Coturnix japonica: one gene and its partners. The protein of the gene in region 3 purifies or fractionates together with the protein of the main gene of each other region. This does not show direct contact. Links are inferred from orthologs where the notes say so. Each region holds a gene or a part of one and is shown on either strand. Other genes may lie near its edges.

Region 1 (5,494 bases), on a different chromosome or scaffold from region 3:
CCATTCGGGGCTGAGGATGGTGGTCTTATTACAGCAAAGCAAATGGAGCACTATAATTGTGTCCTGTGTGCACTCTGGCAATTCCTCTTCCTTCCACATCTGTGGCTGCATTGCCCAACTCCATCAGTGATGCTGAATGGGGCCAAAGAGCAACTACAATGTTTCTGGAGCAGGAGTTAAGGAACGTTCACTGCAGTGACTTGCCCGTGAATGCACAGATCCACAGTGATAAAGCATTTGGGGATTCTAAGTACATTTGTTTGTCTTGGTGCCCTCTTTCCAAATGTTCATGCCAATAGTGCTCCAGACACATGCTGCATGCTTATAGCTCTCTCTGGATATCAGCAGAAGCAATGGCCAGCTGGAAATTTAAATGGAGATGATGATGCTCATGGACTCGAAAAGAATCACAGCAACACTTGACTGCATGGGCCTACAACTGTAGGAACCCAGCATGTACAGCCTAATACATTCTCTTCATCAGCTTCAGAGATTACTTTGAAGCATTAAAGAGATGCATCACCACAGGTACCAACAGGACTTCAGTGAAATCTCAGTGCTATGTAACCAACTGAACTCCCAAATCAAACCCAACTGGTAACGAGTGTGTGCAGTAAGTGAAAGAAGACGACTATTCCTGGCGAAGTGTTACACGCCAGTTTTTTCTTTTCATTTTACAACTTCATCATTATTTCCTAACAAAACTAAAAAAGAACTACCATTAATGAAAGGAGAAGCCGCTTGGCAAATATCATTGGCCTCGATGTATAAACACTCGTGTACAGGCTCAGCATTGGTACTGTTCATTGTCTCATTGATTTCAAAGGGATTATTTGCATTATGAGCATTTTGTGCACCTGCATTTGCTGTACGTGATATCACCACATATTTTCACAGTGATAAACTAAAAACTCTGGTTGTATTATATAGGTAAGTCGTCCATTTTAATCATAATGCAGGCAGAAAAGCCTGTGCATCCACCGTGACCTCGCCAACACAGGAGATTCAGATTTTCACACAATTTCACTCATCAGGATGGCGGTTCCTGATCCAGACCTCTCTTAGGTCATCCTGCATCTCCAGAAGAATCACACACAGAATCACAGAATGACCCAGGTTGGAAGGGACATCAAGGATCATGTAGTTCCAACCCCCCTGCCTGGCAGGGCCACCAAACATACACCTTTACTAGATCAGGTTGCCCAGGGCCCCGTCCAACCTGGTCTTGAACACCTCCAAGGACGGGGCATCCACAACCTCCCTGGGCAGCCTGTTCCAGGGCCTAACCACTCTCCTAGTGAAGAACTTCCCCCTAACATCCAACCTAAATCTTCCCTCTTTTAACTTAAAACCATTTCCCCGTGTCCTGCTATTGTCAGAAGAACCAGGACACGTCTCCTCTGCCCTTGTTACTAGGCCGTACCAACAGGCCGTGTTGGTGCCAGGCTGGGTGTATGTCTGCGGGCCGATGTGGATGCGGGGCCGCCCCTGCCCTCACAAAATGGGCGCCGATCTCGGCAGCGGCGAAGCTCCGTGTTCCCGCCTGTTGCAGGCCCCGCGGAGCAGAGCGGCGCGGCAGCCCCGCGGCCTACGTGTCCCGCCGGCCCCAGGCGCAGGGCCGCGTCTCCCGCGGGAGGCGGAGGAAGCGCGGCGGATCGGGCCTCGTTTCTCCTTCCCCCTTCTCCTCCTCCCGTCCCCTGGATCCCTCGTCGCTCCTTATCGCCGGGCGGCACGTCGCTCTCCCCGCCCCTCAGCGCCGCAGCGGGCCGAGCGGCGGCGGCGGCGGGGTCACGGCGTCGGCCGGGTCAGAGGGTAAAGGTTGCTCCCCCAGCATCCTCCGTGCTGGATACTCAGCCATCTTGGATCCGCGGGACAAGAAAATTCATGCGGTGAGTCCGGCCCCGGCCGCCCCCCCCCGACCCCCCGCCGCCGCCCCGATCCCCGCCGCCGCCCTCCCGCGGCCCGATGAGGGGGGACCCGGCGTCGGCGCGGCCCTCGGCGGGGCTGTGCGGGCCCGGGGCCGTCCCGCCGGGTTTCCGTTTGCTTTTGTCTCCGAGGGGAGCGGGGGGGACGCGCGGCGCCCGAGCCCGGAGCGCAGCCGCAGGCCCGGCCCGGCCCGCCGCCCCCCGCCCTCCATAGCGACCGCGGCCGGCGGGGTCCGCCGGGAGCCGCTCCAGGCCCAGCCGAGCCCGAGGCCCGGCCGCGCTCGGGCCCCGCATCCCCCGCGGCCGTCGCTCTGCTGCCGCGGCCCGTTCGGGACGGCTCCCGCCCGCCGTCTCTCTCCCTTGCCGGGCTCGTCCGAGGGCCGCGCGGGCTCCGTTTCCACCCTGCGCCGCCGCCACCTCCCGCCGGGCCCGGCGTAGGGGTGGCCCGGCCTGTGCCGCCGGGTGCCGCCGGGCCCCGCTGCCGGGCGGCGCCGTGCTGCCGGGGCGGCCTCGCGGCCTACGGCGCCGGGCCTTCAACGAGTCCCCGGCTGAGGAACGGGGTGAGCCGGGGATACCGTCGGCCTGCTTCCTTTTACAAATTATATATATATATATTTCTTCTATTTATTTTATTATCATCATCATTATTATTATTATTATTATTTTTGCGCGTGTGTGCGCCTTTTACACCCTCCTCCTGGTGGCGGTTAAGGTGATGTGTAAACAGGTTTTGCTATTCCCTCAGATGTGTTGGTAAAACAAACTTGAAACGGAGTGATCCCATGCAAGAATTTGCCTGCGTGCACGGTGTGCTCAGTCGGGGTGGGGGGATGCAATGGGTCAGGGTGGTACCTGCAGTGTGAGGTGTAGGGCTGCAGCTGTGTCCCTGACAGAAGCAGGGGTTTGCCTGCATGTGCTGCCGGTTGGAATTTCTGTGTCGTTGGTGGTGGTTTCTTTGTTTTTAATTTGTTTTCTTCAATGAAGTTGCAGGTAACTTTGTTTTGGTGGTCGTCTAATGTGAGCTAGTGAAAACAAGCTGTTAGGTGTGGATCGGCTCTAAGTCTGTTTTATCAGAGAACTTGTTTCCAACTTTGCACAGCGTTATCCCTAGAAGATGATCATAACTGTCTGTGTCTCATTCTTTTTCATGCGTGTGTATATACATGTGACTCACATGGGTGAAGGCAGTGTTCCTGCTTCCCTACACACGGTATCCCTGTGGTGTTGGGGGCTCTGTCAAAGCCCCTTGGCCTGGGGAAGGGAGGTTGAGATGTTTAAACTGCTGTCACAGCACTCTGCGGGAATCCTCGCCTTTCTGGAAACTTGGATTTGTTTCAGGCTGTTAAAACTTGTAAAGACCTGCAAAAGCAGAGTAATTGTTTAGGTTTGCATTGCAAAGGCATCTCTACTTGGACCTGTACGGGTTGTTAGGTGTGCAATGGGGTACTTGGAGTTCTCTCTAGTGTAATGTGTCTTGCAGGGTCCAGTTTCTTAATCTTTAAGGCTGTGTTCAATACCTTGCTACTGTTGATGGTGAGAATTCATCTGGAGTGAAAAACTTCAAGGTGTTAACTGCTTCTAATCTTAGGAAGGGATTTGAATACTTGATACCAGGATCTGACCCACCTGACTTGCAAGTGTGTTTCTGTTTCACTTTCAGGAAGCTGTCTGTAAGAGTTTGTTAGCAGGTAAATCTGCTCTGTGCTTTTCTTCTAGAAAGGTAACATAACTCTCAGAATTATCGTTATTACTGTCACCCATCTGCGGGGCGATTCTACCAGCAGTGAAAGCAAAAGCCCTTGGTTAAGAGCTAGCAAGAAAACACCAACTACAAAATTTATTAAAGATGATTTGAGTCATCTTTAAAAGAGTCTAGCTGTAGGGAATTGGTTTTCACTGGGAAGAACAGAATGGTTAATGCGTTGTCCCCTGGCTGCATGATGGCACCTGGAAGCCTTGGTCTTCACGTCAGCCCTAAAAAGCTGGGCATATCTCTCAGGCAATGGTAGCTTTCATGAACTATTTTTGCTATATTTGCTGTGCTGTATTTCTGGCCAGACAGAAGTTGGAAACTTTCTTGCATTTTGAGGCTCCTTTGCGTGGTTTTTGTACTTCTGCACTGGCACAAGGGCCAGGCTGTGCTGTGAGCATTGCAGGATTTGTAACCTCACTGTGCTTCTCAACCAGTTGTGTGCCATAACAAGGAGTCGCAAAATATTTTCTAGCAGAGTTGTTAATGACTCTAGAAGTGGCATAATTTAAAGTACACTCTTAGTTAAAATAGGTGTTGTTTGTACCTGCCTTTTTGATGTGATCTGGAAACTTAAGGGAAGTGCTGACTTGCTTGCTTTGTTATGGGGCGCATAAGAAGTGCATATTAGCTCCCAATCTTGGTTCTCAGGTAGGTTCTTGTACTAACTTCTTTGGGGTTATCTCTTCCTGTGAAGCTATAATGTGGTTGAACACAGATTTCAAAGGCACTTAATATGAAAACAAGCAAACAAAAATCTTGTTCATATATAAATAGAAATATTCTCAATTTCTTGGCAGAATCCTTGCCGTATTTGTTGTATATTTCTGAACGTTATCTTACTGTTAGCAAACAGGCAGAAAGCTTCTATAGAAGCACAACACCATTACGTCAAAGAAGTATTTTGGGCTCCAATTTAAAGGATTACCCTCTAAATGATCATTTAAAAACTATTTTTATGATGATTGTAAATAATTTCTACACAAATGGCAGTGCTGCTTGACAAAGGGCAGGAGATGCAAGTTGGATTAACTTTGCCTCATCTGGGTTTATGAGGTGCAAGTAAGTAAATTTAAAAACCAAGTAAGTATGTAGCCATTCTTCTATGTAGCAGATCTTGAAGTTCATCCAGCTATCTCAACCTGTTTCACTTGTTCTTTCCCAAAAAGGGTTGATTGACTTTCTTTTTCTTTTCTTAGTTTGTTTTCTGTTGTGCTTCAGCATCTACGTTCTGTGTTTGTGTGTTGCATTGGTCTCCTGCCCTGGGTTCCTGTAAAAACATACGAACAACTGAAACTTTGTGGGTAGTCTCATTGACTTAAAAGCAGCCACTGGTGTGCTGACAGTTAACCTCTTACATCAGAGCTTTCAGGGTAGAGGCTGGGATGTTGACAACTCAATCTACTTTTATGGAACATTGTAACAGCGTGGAGAGGGTTGTGTCAAATGAAATTATTGCACAGTGGGATGTTTGAAGTTTTCCTTATGGAAATTTGTTTTTAGAGGTGTTTGTATTCCAACCGTATGTTTCCATGCTAATCAGTAAGAGATTTCTGTATAGGAGTTACAGTCTTTATGCTTTTATTTCAGCAATAACAAAAGACCATAAACTTTTCAGATTGCTTTTAGTTTGTGTTGTGTCTTTCATTTATACTGTTATGCTGGAAGTCGTATGGTGCTAGTTGGTAGTAGCTCAGAGCTGAGCTGCTTTGGGCCCCAAATTGAGATGGAGATGACCCCCACCCCAGAGGAGGTTACTGGGCCCCCCTGTGCTTCCCTCCCTCAATTTGTCTTGGTGATCAGCAGCGTTACAGGAACG
Region 2 (5,387 bases), about 21 Mb from region 3:
ATGCTGCTCTCCACATTTCAGGAACTAAACAAATGCTTTGTTTGCATCTCCAGCCCACCATTCCCAAATTTAGCCTCTGTGTTGCACTACGTCACTCACTGATGGTACAATCTCCCTCCCAGCCACCTTACTTTTAAAAGCATTTCAACACCCATCATTCACACGCTAACACTGGAGAATTGTTTTCAGAACTCTTGAATTCTGGACCCCTTTAGCCATGAGCTGCCTTCATTACTTCCACACCTGAAGCCACTGGAGCCAAGGAAGCGTGAACAGCTCCACAGATAAGCCCACATGGGCTTGAGGTTAACTGGACAAGTGAAGCAACAGCTGTAACAGCAAACGGATCTCATCCTGCAGGCAACAGCCACACTTCAGTTCCTCCTCTGACCTCTGTGTTGTGGATGTTCAGAAATACACCAGGTATCTTATTGATTTGCACCGTGCTTATTGTCAGACCAACAGAACCGTTCACATTATGCGACTCCTGCTAAAAACTTGAGCCATGCTCTTAAATGAAATCACACAATGGGAAAGTACTCTGTGCTGACACAGGTGCCTCTTTTGACCAACAAATGGAATTTAGTCACTTTAATTCTGATGCTAGCAGTTTTTGCTTGGCTTTTAAGCTTAGTAGCAGAAGAAAGGACAGCTCCACTCCAGAATATCACTGTGTCCAACATCACGCAAGGCAAATTCTTACTTATCAACAGAGAATTCTCCTCCTTCGCCCTTCTCATCGGCAGGTTTATCAAATCGGCGCTCACGGGGAGGTCGTCTCTCAGGTCTCCTGTCAATGGGTTTGCCTTCACCCTGCTGCTGCTGCTGCTGATCAGGCCTCCTGCCAATGCGCCTTATCCCTGCAACAGGAGCAAAACACACCAACGGAATGCAGAGCTGCACCGGGACAGATACTGCAGGCAGCACTGTCATACAAAGATGAACATGAGCCGGAATTCAGGCTTTTCTTCTAACCCTGTGACCATGTGGTCTTAGAAACGATACCTTTATGAGGATCATTTGACTCCAACTGACGTTTGAATGCAGCATTTCAATCAACCTGCATTTAGTCCAAGCATATGCTCCTACAGTACTGTGGGAACAAGACCTGTCAGAGCACACAGCCACCACAGATCCCTGTTCAAACGATCCAGCTTTCAAAGAAGGATCAAGATAAGCAAGTTTTGTGTTCTTTCTCCAAAGGGCACTTTTCAGGTACAACATGTGCTTTCTATTTGATATGCACCAAAACAAGGCCAGCAGCTTCCCCAGAATCGAGCCCCCACAACAGCCACCCTGTTTCATCCGACTGCGCTCTGCCTGCAAGCATGGAACCAGAGGAAGCACCGGGGGCTGTGCTGCCCAGGGGGCCACCTCCCCCCAGCCCCGTGGCACCCCCCCCCCCCCCATGAAGCAGGCAGCTCAGCAGGCACAGCTCAGTGCCTCGCAATGACTCGAGCGCTGCTGCTCACAGCCCCGCGTGCTGGCGGACAAAGGCTCAGGCAGCAGAGTGCTGCTCACAGCCCCAGAGCTGCACTGCTGCAATGGACCCAGCTCCTGTCTCCATTTCCACACCTTCTGAAACGGGCCGGAATAGCCACTCCCCATCACTATGACATCTAAAGGGCCTTAAGTACTTTCCCAACCATCTTTACTACTTTTTAGGAAGAGCCGCACAAACTGCTCTGGGTGCTGTCACACAAACCACCATCCCTCCAAAACACGCAGGGAACAAAGCCCTCAGCAAAGCAGCACCCCAGGGCTGCCTCCAAACAGGGCTGCTGCTTAAAAAAAGAGAAAGAAAAAAAAAGCCAGTTTTGAATATTCCCAAAGACAGCAGATCCTGCCGAACAAGCAGCGCTGCACCTGGGTGGGGCCCAGAAGTTCCAGCTGTAATGATATCCACGCCAACACGCCCAGCCTAACAATGCCTCCTTACCTGACACATGGTGCTGAGCACACGTTGGCATGACAGACACTGCTCACTCCCTGCAGGAACACAGCGGCCTCGGCCCCTACTCATTCCCAGCAGAGCCACATGTTTGTAGAGGCGCAGCACAGCGGCCGTGCCACGCTGAGGCCCACAGCAGGGCTGCAATGTACGATCCAATGTCAAGTGCAGCACCCTGTGCTCAGCACGGGGCTCCCAGGAGTGAACCTGACAAGGTACAGCATTATCCCACAGTACATCAAACAACTGCACCTTGCAGAGCAGTGCTGCAGCAGCAGGCCAGGACGCCTGTTTCATTGCTATAATAATCCACAGCAGACTCCTTGCCACAACAAAGCACTGCTCGTTCTGTAAAGTCAACTTGAGAACCAAGAGGTGACCGTCCCTGAGCCATCCAAGGACCCAGACCCTGTGTGCTGGTGAAGCACCCACCCCCATGTCACTGCGTGGGCTCCCAGTGCCAGCCCACACCTGACCCACACCCATGGGGGACTGAACTCCAGGAACCACCGTTCAGGACAATAATCCCTGGCATCACAGTGGGAAACACAAAACACCCACAGGCAGAGCACTACAACAGCCCCCAGCTGCTGCTCAGTGTTCTCTCACACCCAACAGGAGCACCTTCTAGTACCATATATTCATTTCTCTCTTAAAGCCCAGTGTAACCCAAGCTACACGGGGTGCTGCACGGCCACCTGCATGCACAGAGCCACTGCTGCTCACACAGCCCTGTGCCACAGCTTGTTAGTTGAGGCTGTGTGCATTTCCAACAGCCACAACACCCGAGTCCTCCTGGTGCGATGGCTCCGGGGTCGCACAGCCATGATGGAGGATGCGAGTTATTAACACAGTGCACGTTGTTCCTACTGACTCAGTTCTTACCGCTGCACAACAAGGAGTGAATGACTTCTGCTCCGAGCGCGACACACACCTGCACCCCCGGCTGCCTGGATTCCGTGTGGGGGTTACCCCAATTAGATTCAATACCCCAATTCGATTCAATACCCCAATTCCTGCTGCTCCCATGGCGGAACCGCAGGGTCCCAGCAGTGTGGAGCTGTTAGGGCCCCCACCCCAATGCTGAGAGCCCCCACCAGCTCCGGCTGCTCGGACCCACCGGCGGCTTCGTGCAGCTCCGGGATTCGTACAGCAGCTCTATGCAGCGGTGCCGGGGCCGCGCTGCCTTTGGGGAACGAACTTCCCCGCGCACCTGCATTAAACCTGCCCTGTTAGAGCTGAACGCGGTTCCCCCCCGTCCCCCCGCTCCCCGGATTCGCTCCCGAGTTCCCGTCTCGCTGCGTTCCCTCATTACCCCGCTCCGTTCCCCGCTCCCCCCCGTTGCACCCCACGCGTTCCTCCATTTTGGGGCCGCGGCCACGTGCGGTTCCTCGGTGCTCCCGGGGCCGCCCCCCCCCGCGCCACGCGGCCCCGCTCCCGCCACGTGCGCACGGCGGTGCCGCTCCCCGCTGCCCGGCTCCCCCCGTCGCCGTCCTCCCGTTCCCCTCCCCGCTCTCCGTCCGTCCCTCTCTCCCTCCCGGCCGTACCCGCCGCTTCCCGCCGCCCCCTTTGTGCCCGTTGGCGGTTTCCCGGCTCTCACCGTCCTTGCGCAGCGCCGCTCCGCTCTGCCCGCCGCCGTCCTCCCGTCGCTCTCCCCCGGCGGACGCGGCGAATGGCGGCAGCGGGTTCTTCCGCTCCTTCTGGGACTCCCTGCGCAGCTGTTTGGCCGCGCTCCCCGCTCCGCCCGTCGCGGCCTGTCCCGCCGTTCCGCCGCCGGCTCCTCCCGCGCTGTTGCTCTGCGCTCCGCCCGAGCCGCCCCGGGCCCCGCCGCCCCCCTGGGCCCCGCCGCCGCCGCCGCTCTCTTTCCGCCGAGTCTCGGCCGCCCGCAGCACCTCGAAGGGGTCGGACTCGTCATCGAAAAGCTGGTCGAAGCGGTTGGTGACGACGCAGCCGAAGCCCTCCTGCAGGTGTCCGGGCATGATGGGCCCCCGTCGGCGGGATCCTGCTCCGATGCTGCCGGGCCCCCCGCGCCCTGCTGCCTGCCGCACAAGATGGCCGGCCGAGAACAGACCCGCTTCTCTTCCGGCGCCGGCCACATCCGGGCACCTCACCCCCGCGCGGGGCGCGCCGGGATTTGGAGGCGGCTCGCGCCCAACTCCGCGCGCGCGTGGGCGGCGAACTACAACTCCCGGCGTGCACCGCGCCGCCATTGTGCCGGGCCGCGGGCGGGGCGGGGTGTCATGGCGGCGGCGTGGGCGGGAACGCGGAGTGAGGAGCGGGAATGGGCGGGAAAAGCGACACGGCTCCACACGGACGGGACGGGCGGATACAGAGTGTGGGACCGGCTGTGGGGATACACAGTGCGGGACCGGCTGTGGGGATACAGTGTGGGACCGGCTGTGGGGATACACAGTGCGGGACCGGCTGTGGGGGTGGATGGCCGCCTGCTGCCCTCAGTGCTGTGTGTGAGCACTGCCGGCTGCTGGCGGGGTGCTGAGCAAGAAGAGGGAACGGGCCGGCTCCGGTCGTGGTGGGGCCGTGGCGGGGCCGTGCTGTGCCCTCACTCCGCCCCTCCGCTGTAGTTTCCTTACTTTGAACTAAATAACCCTCACGTTGCACAGCGCTGTTCCCTCCCGCTGTGTCCCCTCCCTGTCCCTGCAGCCCCACCAGGAGCTGCTCGGTGCTCCGTGAGGCCGCACTGACTGACTGCACGGAGAACATTGTGAACGAAGCTCAGCCGTGGCTTTGGAGCAGCAAAGCTCCGTGTGTCACCTCACACGGCATCCTGCAAAGCTGCTGCTGCAACTTTGTGCCCATTCCCTGGCACCGTTCTCACTGCATTCCCGACGTGCTGCACGGAGGCGGCACTCAGAGCAGCGCTCAGGGCTGCAGTGAGATGCAGGGAATGCACGGAACACAGCGTGCTTTGTGCTGAGCTCTGTGCACTGCACAGCAGGGCTGGCAGTGGGGCACAGCAGCAGGCAGACGTCCTGCAGGGCTCCTGTGTACCCTGTCATTGCAGCATGGGGTCTGCAGAGCAGGAAAACCTGCTCACTCTTCACTGTAAACACATGAACAGCACTGCTTCCTCACGAGGCACGTGCATCGGGAAGCAGAGCAGCACAGCCCCGCTCTGCACGTGGAGATGTGCAGCAGAGAAGTGAAGCAAAGCGTGCGGCCGCAGAACATCAGGTAACCCGGACTCATGGAGCCTGTTCCTCCTTCCCCTGCATCCCCAGCAGCTCGCAGGGTGGGTGCTGCTCCTGCCCAGCCCTGGCACAGCCGGTATTTCCAGCTGACGGAGGAAGCAGAGGGTTGGTCCTGAGCTCTGCCCTTAGCAAACCGCTCTGCAGCATCCAGCCACGCTCAGTGGGCTCTGCCGTGCTCCGTCCTCAGCACATGGGAGGAGGAAAAGGGAAGAAATGAGGCATTTCCC
Region 3 (5,836 bases):
ATATGTCTAATTAACAAGCTGCCTGTAGAGTCATTTTTAGATTTCAAGTAAGCATAAAGAACAGTTAACTGCAGAGCAGTTAGCCTGCATCTATATCCAGAACTTTAAAGCAGTAATGCAGACATAGGAGTGCTTATAACCTCAAAAGCAGAACACTCTGTTCACTTGCAAATACATTCTTTCACTATGTTGCGCTTTTGAGCTTAAAAGTCCTCCACAAGTACCGACATCAACCTGGAGAGCAAAGAGTCCTTCCCAGCCTAGAGAAGCATTAGCTTTTCTTTGGTGTTCCCCTAATCTTTACATACCGCCATCTCCACACTCCTTGCTGCCACGACATCTTTGGGTTTTGCATCTTTGGTTCCAATGTAGGAGCCGATGGTGTCACAGGACCAGGGAGAGTACTGGCTGTAGTCATTTCCTTTGTATTTCCCAGCTACCTTCAGGTCTTCATCTAAGTACTGTACAAAAACAAAGATCTGGTTCTGTCAGTAAGGAGAAGATGCAGCTTCACAGCCACAGCTGATTAGCTCAACAGCAGTGAACTTAAAAAACACCATCAGATTTTTTGTATTATTATTTTTTTTAATTGAATGCATTTGGAGTTGGGCCACAAAAGGCAGAAGACATATCAAATCTTGATTGGCTGGTAACAATTCCAGCACCAACTGTTCACTTGCTCAGTACGAGAGTGATATATTTTAACCTTGGTTTAAAAAAACAAATGATACCAAAAAAAGCCCCAAACTGCTAGGTAACTCTAAACTTGTTGGGAATGAACAAAGCCAAGTTTAGTGACTGTGAAGTCTGACTACTTCAATTAATAATAGCTTGATTTAATTCTCTTGGTGCCACCTACAGCTGACCATTACAGATCAGTGGTAGATCACAGAATAGCCAGTCATTCCAGAGATCATATTACAAGGGTTTCCCACCTGCAATACAAGATACTCTCTCCACAACATTTTTCAACATGGTATTGTACTAGTTTTCTTGTTACTGTCACTTGTCAGCTCACACGAAAAAAACATCAGAACATTTTCTAATCATATTCACAAGTAAAAATATTCTTACCTCCTCTGAATGAAAAGGATGAGGCAAGGTTGGAGAAGGTGCAAAAGGAGGTGGGGAAATAACCTTCCTCTCCTCTAACTGTGCCATGATCTCTTTCCTTCGTCGGTGAAGTTCATCCAGGCTGGGGTGAGGCTGAAATTAAGACAGGAATACATTACAAAACTTCTGAAGCATTACCAACATGCTAAATCACTAATTTAGAAAATGCTGTTTTATCCAAGCAAGAGAAGGCAGCTCTATGTTAAAAGAAATGGATAATCACAATACTTACGTTCCTCAAGCTCTAAACAGTAAGCTGCTTTTTACACACTAACATCATTACAATCACCAAGCTGGCCGATAATAAACTGCCTTCTGGTTTTTTCATCAGCTTCACACCAAATTCTCCAATTTATTTTTAATTATTATTATTATTTTAAATTCCTCACATAAACCACAACCTTACTTGGAAAAAAAAAATAATCAATTTCTCAACTAGTTTGTATTTTCTCTCTGGGAACAACTTCAAAAACACATTAGGAATACCATACCCGGTGGCAGGAAGGTCTGATCTGACTGAGATGGGGAGCCACTGGGCAATAACTCTCTGTTTGTGGGTATCTGTCCCTGGATTCAGGTACGTAGGAGGGTACAGCTGCTTGTGGAATTTCAATGGGTACAGGGCTTCCTCGGACCATCTCCTCTCGCTGATATGGCTGGACAGGGGGGTACACACGGCGGCTGTCGTAGTGCGGGGGATATATGGGTTGTCCCATCGGAGGATATTGCTGAGGCTGTGTGTACTGGGGGCTCACCACACGATCCTGAAGGTAGGGAGCGTAATGGTCTAAATAAGGTGGACCAGGTTCTGGAGCTGATGGAGGAGGTCGCACAAAGCGAGACATGGTTTGAGGATAGTAAACTCCTGAATTTAGGCAAGAAAAAGACAAACAAGGTAGAGAATGAAATTATTACAGTTGTTCATAAAAGTGGGTTGATTCAAACACTGCAGTTTACAAGTATCATGAACAGTGATATAAATTAATACGCATTTACTGTTTGCCACCACTGTCTAACAGGTATTTCTACTCAAGAATTAACCACTTCAGAAAACCCTAGAGAAGCAGGAGCTGATCCAAAGCACAAGTGACAGCAAGATGTAAAGATTACTGTAGCTGAAGAAAAGGCAGTGAGATCGAGCCCACCACAGGTTCCACAGTGTACTAACCAGAATTAATTCACTAGGATGTCTCTCTATTTACCTGAATGTTTTTATATAGAGAGCTAAAAGCAAAAGGAAGATCATTTTGTATGCCTCTATCTGTGCAACTAAAAACTCAGTTTGCCCCAACACATCAGTCATTGCCTGCATAAACAGGGATTAATGAGGTTTTTAAAGTTAATTATTCAAATATTTGCTCTACCTCTTGAGAAACAGAAGCAAATTTCAGTACTGTGAACCACCAAAGACCTCTTAAAATTACATCTGTTAGTTACCTGAATGTTTCAGGTAATTGATCTGAGATTCCTGGATAATTTACAAATGCATATGGACAGGGGACACATCACTAACTGAGCACATTCAACTTTGTCATGCATTGGCATGCAAAAATCAAATACAAGCTTCCTATTCCCCCAAATGCTTCCCTCCACTCCTTCCTAGAGCTTCTTTCCACTTCCATTAGTCACATTCTTTCTTTTTCTATGACATTATTTTCACTTTATTCCAGTTCTCTCTTCAATTTCTTCTTCCATGACAAGACTGATTCCTCATCTTGCTATAGCCGTAGGTTTGTGGGTTTATTTTTTGTAAATATCCTTCAATATTTTCTTTTTCCATTTGGTCTCTTTACACATATAACTCTTCCATTTCCTTTACTTTTCCTTTCCCATTATTCCCATTTTTTTTTTTTACTATTGTTTTTTTTTTTTGCCCAGCTGTTGTCTAATTTCACTCATTTCTACCCATCATATGCATACGCATACATTTCTGAAATATTAACACAGCTTGCATTGAAGTATTTTATTTTATCCCTCAGGAATAAACCCCTCTGCTGTTTAAACATTACTTTCCATTTTCCCTGTATCAAATAGAATTCAGGGCTACCACATTAATTTACTGACCTGGCCAACTGTTTGGAAAAACTGAAGAAAGAGGGACTTACTACAGTGGACAAAAACATCTAAAGCTCCTCAATCAAGACTTATGAAGTCTTGCAGGAGGTAACTCACCAACTGCATTTATACACCTGTACAGCATCTTGACGCATCTATTTCCACTGTACTATACCATAACCACATTAATGCCTGAATTCTATGTGATATGCAAAAAAAAACTAATTTGAAACATAAATAAACACCAAAGTGGGAAGAAAGAATAAAACTGATATGTAAATCAGAAGATAGAGAGCTTGGTCACAAACGTACCTTGCTGGTAGGGTGCTGGCTCAAATGGTGGGGCAGCTCCCCTATGATCTTGATAAAAGATATCTGCTTGCTGAGTATTATACAACTGAGATCCACGAGGTACCATTTGCAACTGTTTTGTGACAGACACTGAAGGCAGATCTGTTGGTGCCCGAGCAGGCACAGGATGAGGGTTCACTGGTAAGGCAGAAATAGAGCTCTTGGAGACAGGTTCCAGCCTAAGAAGTAGAAAGGTGACATTGCCTATTAAAAGCTGATACAGTTCACAGGTACTCTGTCTATATTCCATCTTCTGAAGACTTGCATCATCTCCTCCAATTAAAATATAAGCAATCAGAGATGTAAAGCAATTCATTATTTTAGCTATAGTTTTCTACTGCACTCTACCACCACAAAACAAACAAGCAAACCATTCTGCTTCTTTTCTAGAGAGTGGGTTTACTTTGGTCTCTACTGCATGTTTAGACAGGACACTTTGAACAACAGTTAAGAAGACCCGTACAAGTCAGGAGGGGATCCAGGGGCACTGCTACTCAGATGGTCCATCTTCCCTGGTTTCAGAGCAGCTTCGTAACTGGAGTCAGTCGTCCCTCGAGGAATAAGTTGTGTCACTGTGCTGCCTGTTGACACAATTCCATTTGGCAGAGCAGAGGTTTTCCTATTGGGCAAGTCCACTCCCCCTTCATCCGAGAGGATAGCTCCTGAAGGCAGGCCCACCTCATTCAGTTGGCCCAGGGAGGCACTCAGAGGTCTTCTTGGAACCAGACGCTTGTTCATTTTACGAAATCTTTGAAGAAAGAAGTTACACATCAAAAACTGAAACAAAATACTGAAAGGATTTTCAAGATTTCTTTTTTCCCCCAAACACAGGTGGCACCAGAGTTTCAAGTTCGAAATCGTATTTCCTACTGGCTTGAGAGGTTCATTATTAATACCTGAAAGACTAGAATTTCGCTGCAATTTGACGTGCTCATATCAATTTCAATCAAATGAACCAGTATCAATCTCACCAAGTGTGGATTTTTTATGACAACTACACCAAGAGCTCAGAAAACCTGAAATCTTCCCTCCTGCACATATATCCATTACAACTGTAATGAAGAAAATCAACCAAAAACAAACACCACTTAAAATACCACCTGTAATAACAGAAGTTTCAAAACAAGAATCACAGACTGTTGACGTCTATTTTATTTAGAGAATAAACCAACAGCAGACAACTAAAGGAATCATAGAAGATAGATTATCTTTTACATCACTTGTCTGACATAAAGCCAACATAAGTCCTTAGTGTCAAACTGTATCACCTTCATACTGATCTTGATATATCATGCCTTGTTACTATAGCAATATACAGCTGATACCACTTGCATGGTTTGATAAATGATTTCAGAGAAAAATCTCTAGACACAGTATAATGTCAAAATCCAACTGCTTCTGATAAGTCTGAACAAACAAGCGCCCTTTTACACTAACAAAAAAAAACATCAGCAGACTGATGGTATTGGACTAACAAAGGGAACAAATTCCAGAGCTGAAGGTCCTCCACTAAACCTCCTGCCACCAGCTTAGATACAAGAACACAAGTGGGAGGGCACATCTGTTAGCCTGAGTGCTCACAGAGCAGGAGACTTTCTTATGTGTGAAGCCTTCACAGGGGTTAGATTGGATGAAGCAAACACTTCCGAGTAAAGTGAGATGGTAACACAAACAAAACAACACTTTAAATCCAGGCTATGTGGTAATGACAGCAGGCATTGTCCAGAACATATTAAAAGGAATAAACAGACAGATATTAACACGGTACAAGCACGCGAGGAGGGACAGACAGTTTAAGGCTTTCTAAAAACATGCTGCTTAGAAGTCATTCTGGCATTTCCTGCCAGCTGGAGACATGGAGGTGAGCTGAAGTGAGCTCCCCAGGCTGAGTGTATCACTTTACTTGGCCATTCTACTCAAAGCTAAACTGGTTTTCCCTGCAAAGCATCAGCACAGCATGTTCTGCCTGCCAATAACTTCTGGCCATCTCACTCACATTAGGTCTCTTAGAGGTGCAGTGCCTCCTAACTCCTGATCTTTTGAAGGTCTGCACATAACTTGCAAGAAGGAGACAGCTAATAATTCCTGCTCACTCATATAGCTCACAACAATATGCTTAAGAGGCAGACACACACATACAAACACATTCAGATCAGAAGTGACAGGAAGCATTTGTACTATATACTCCATAGTAACATGCTTCGAAAGAAACACAGTTGTACAGTGTTTCCCTCTGGATTCTTCTTCATCTTCTTCAAAAGGAACACTGTAGTCTCCTCATGTACAGGACAACAACAGAAACAGTAACCCCCCCTGC

The links. Proteins that work in one complex are often made in the same cells at the same time.
Region 1: the proteins of RC3H1 (region 3) and CNOT2 purify together in Homo sapiens (affinity purification with mass spectrometry, with the first as the bait; 3 studies listed by BioGRID). This does not show direct contact. The link is inferred for Coturnix japonica from reciprocal best matches to the Homo sapiens genes RC3H1 and CNOT2.
Region 2: the proteins of RC3H1 (region 3) and SERBP1 purify together in Homo sapiens (affinity purification with mass spectrometry, with the first as the bait; 3 studies listed by BioGRID). This does not show direct contact. The link is inferred for Coturnix japonica from reciprocal best matches to the Homo sapiens genes RC3H1 and SERBP1.

The regions. Positions count from the first base shown.
Region 1 is NC_029516.1:32,389,927-32,395,420, forward strand, and holds the start of CNOT2 (CCR4-NOT transcription complex subunit 2), read left to right. Parts: upstream 1-1,439; 5' UTR 1,440-1,454; coding exon 1,455-1,889; intron 1,890-5,494. UniProt on the Homo sapiens protein: Component of the CCR4-NOT complex which is one of the major cellular mRNA deadenylases and is linked to various cellular processes including bulk mRNA degradation, miRNA-mediated repression, translational repression during translational initiation and general transcription regulation.
Region 2 is NC_029523.1:25,842,730-25,848,116, forward strand, and holds the start of SERBP1 (plasminogen activator inhibitor 1 RNA-binding protein), read right to left. Parts: upstream 4,056-5,387; 5' UTR 3,931-4,055; coding exon 3,552-3,930; intron 861-3,551; coding exon 704-860; intron 1-703. UniProt on the Homo sapiens protein: Ribosome-binding protein that promotes ribosome hibernation, a process during which ribosomes are stabilized in an inactive state and preserved from proteasomal degradation.
Region 3 is NC_029523.1:4,539,874-4,545,709, forward strand, and holds part of RC3H1 (roquin-1), read right to left. Parts: intron 4,268-5,836; coding exon 3,983-4,267; intron 3,699-3,982; coding exon 3,481-3,698; intron 1,979-3,480; coding exon 1,605-1,978; intron 1,207-1,604; coding exon 1,075-1,206; intron 480-1,074; coding exon 309-479; intron 1-308. UniProt on the Homo sapiens protein: Post-transcriptional repressor of mRNAs containing a conserved stem loop motif, called constitutive decay element (CDE), which is often located in the 3'-UTR, as in HMGXB3, ICOS, IER3, NFKBID, NFKBIZ, PPP1R10, TNF, TNFRSF4 and in many more mRNAs.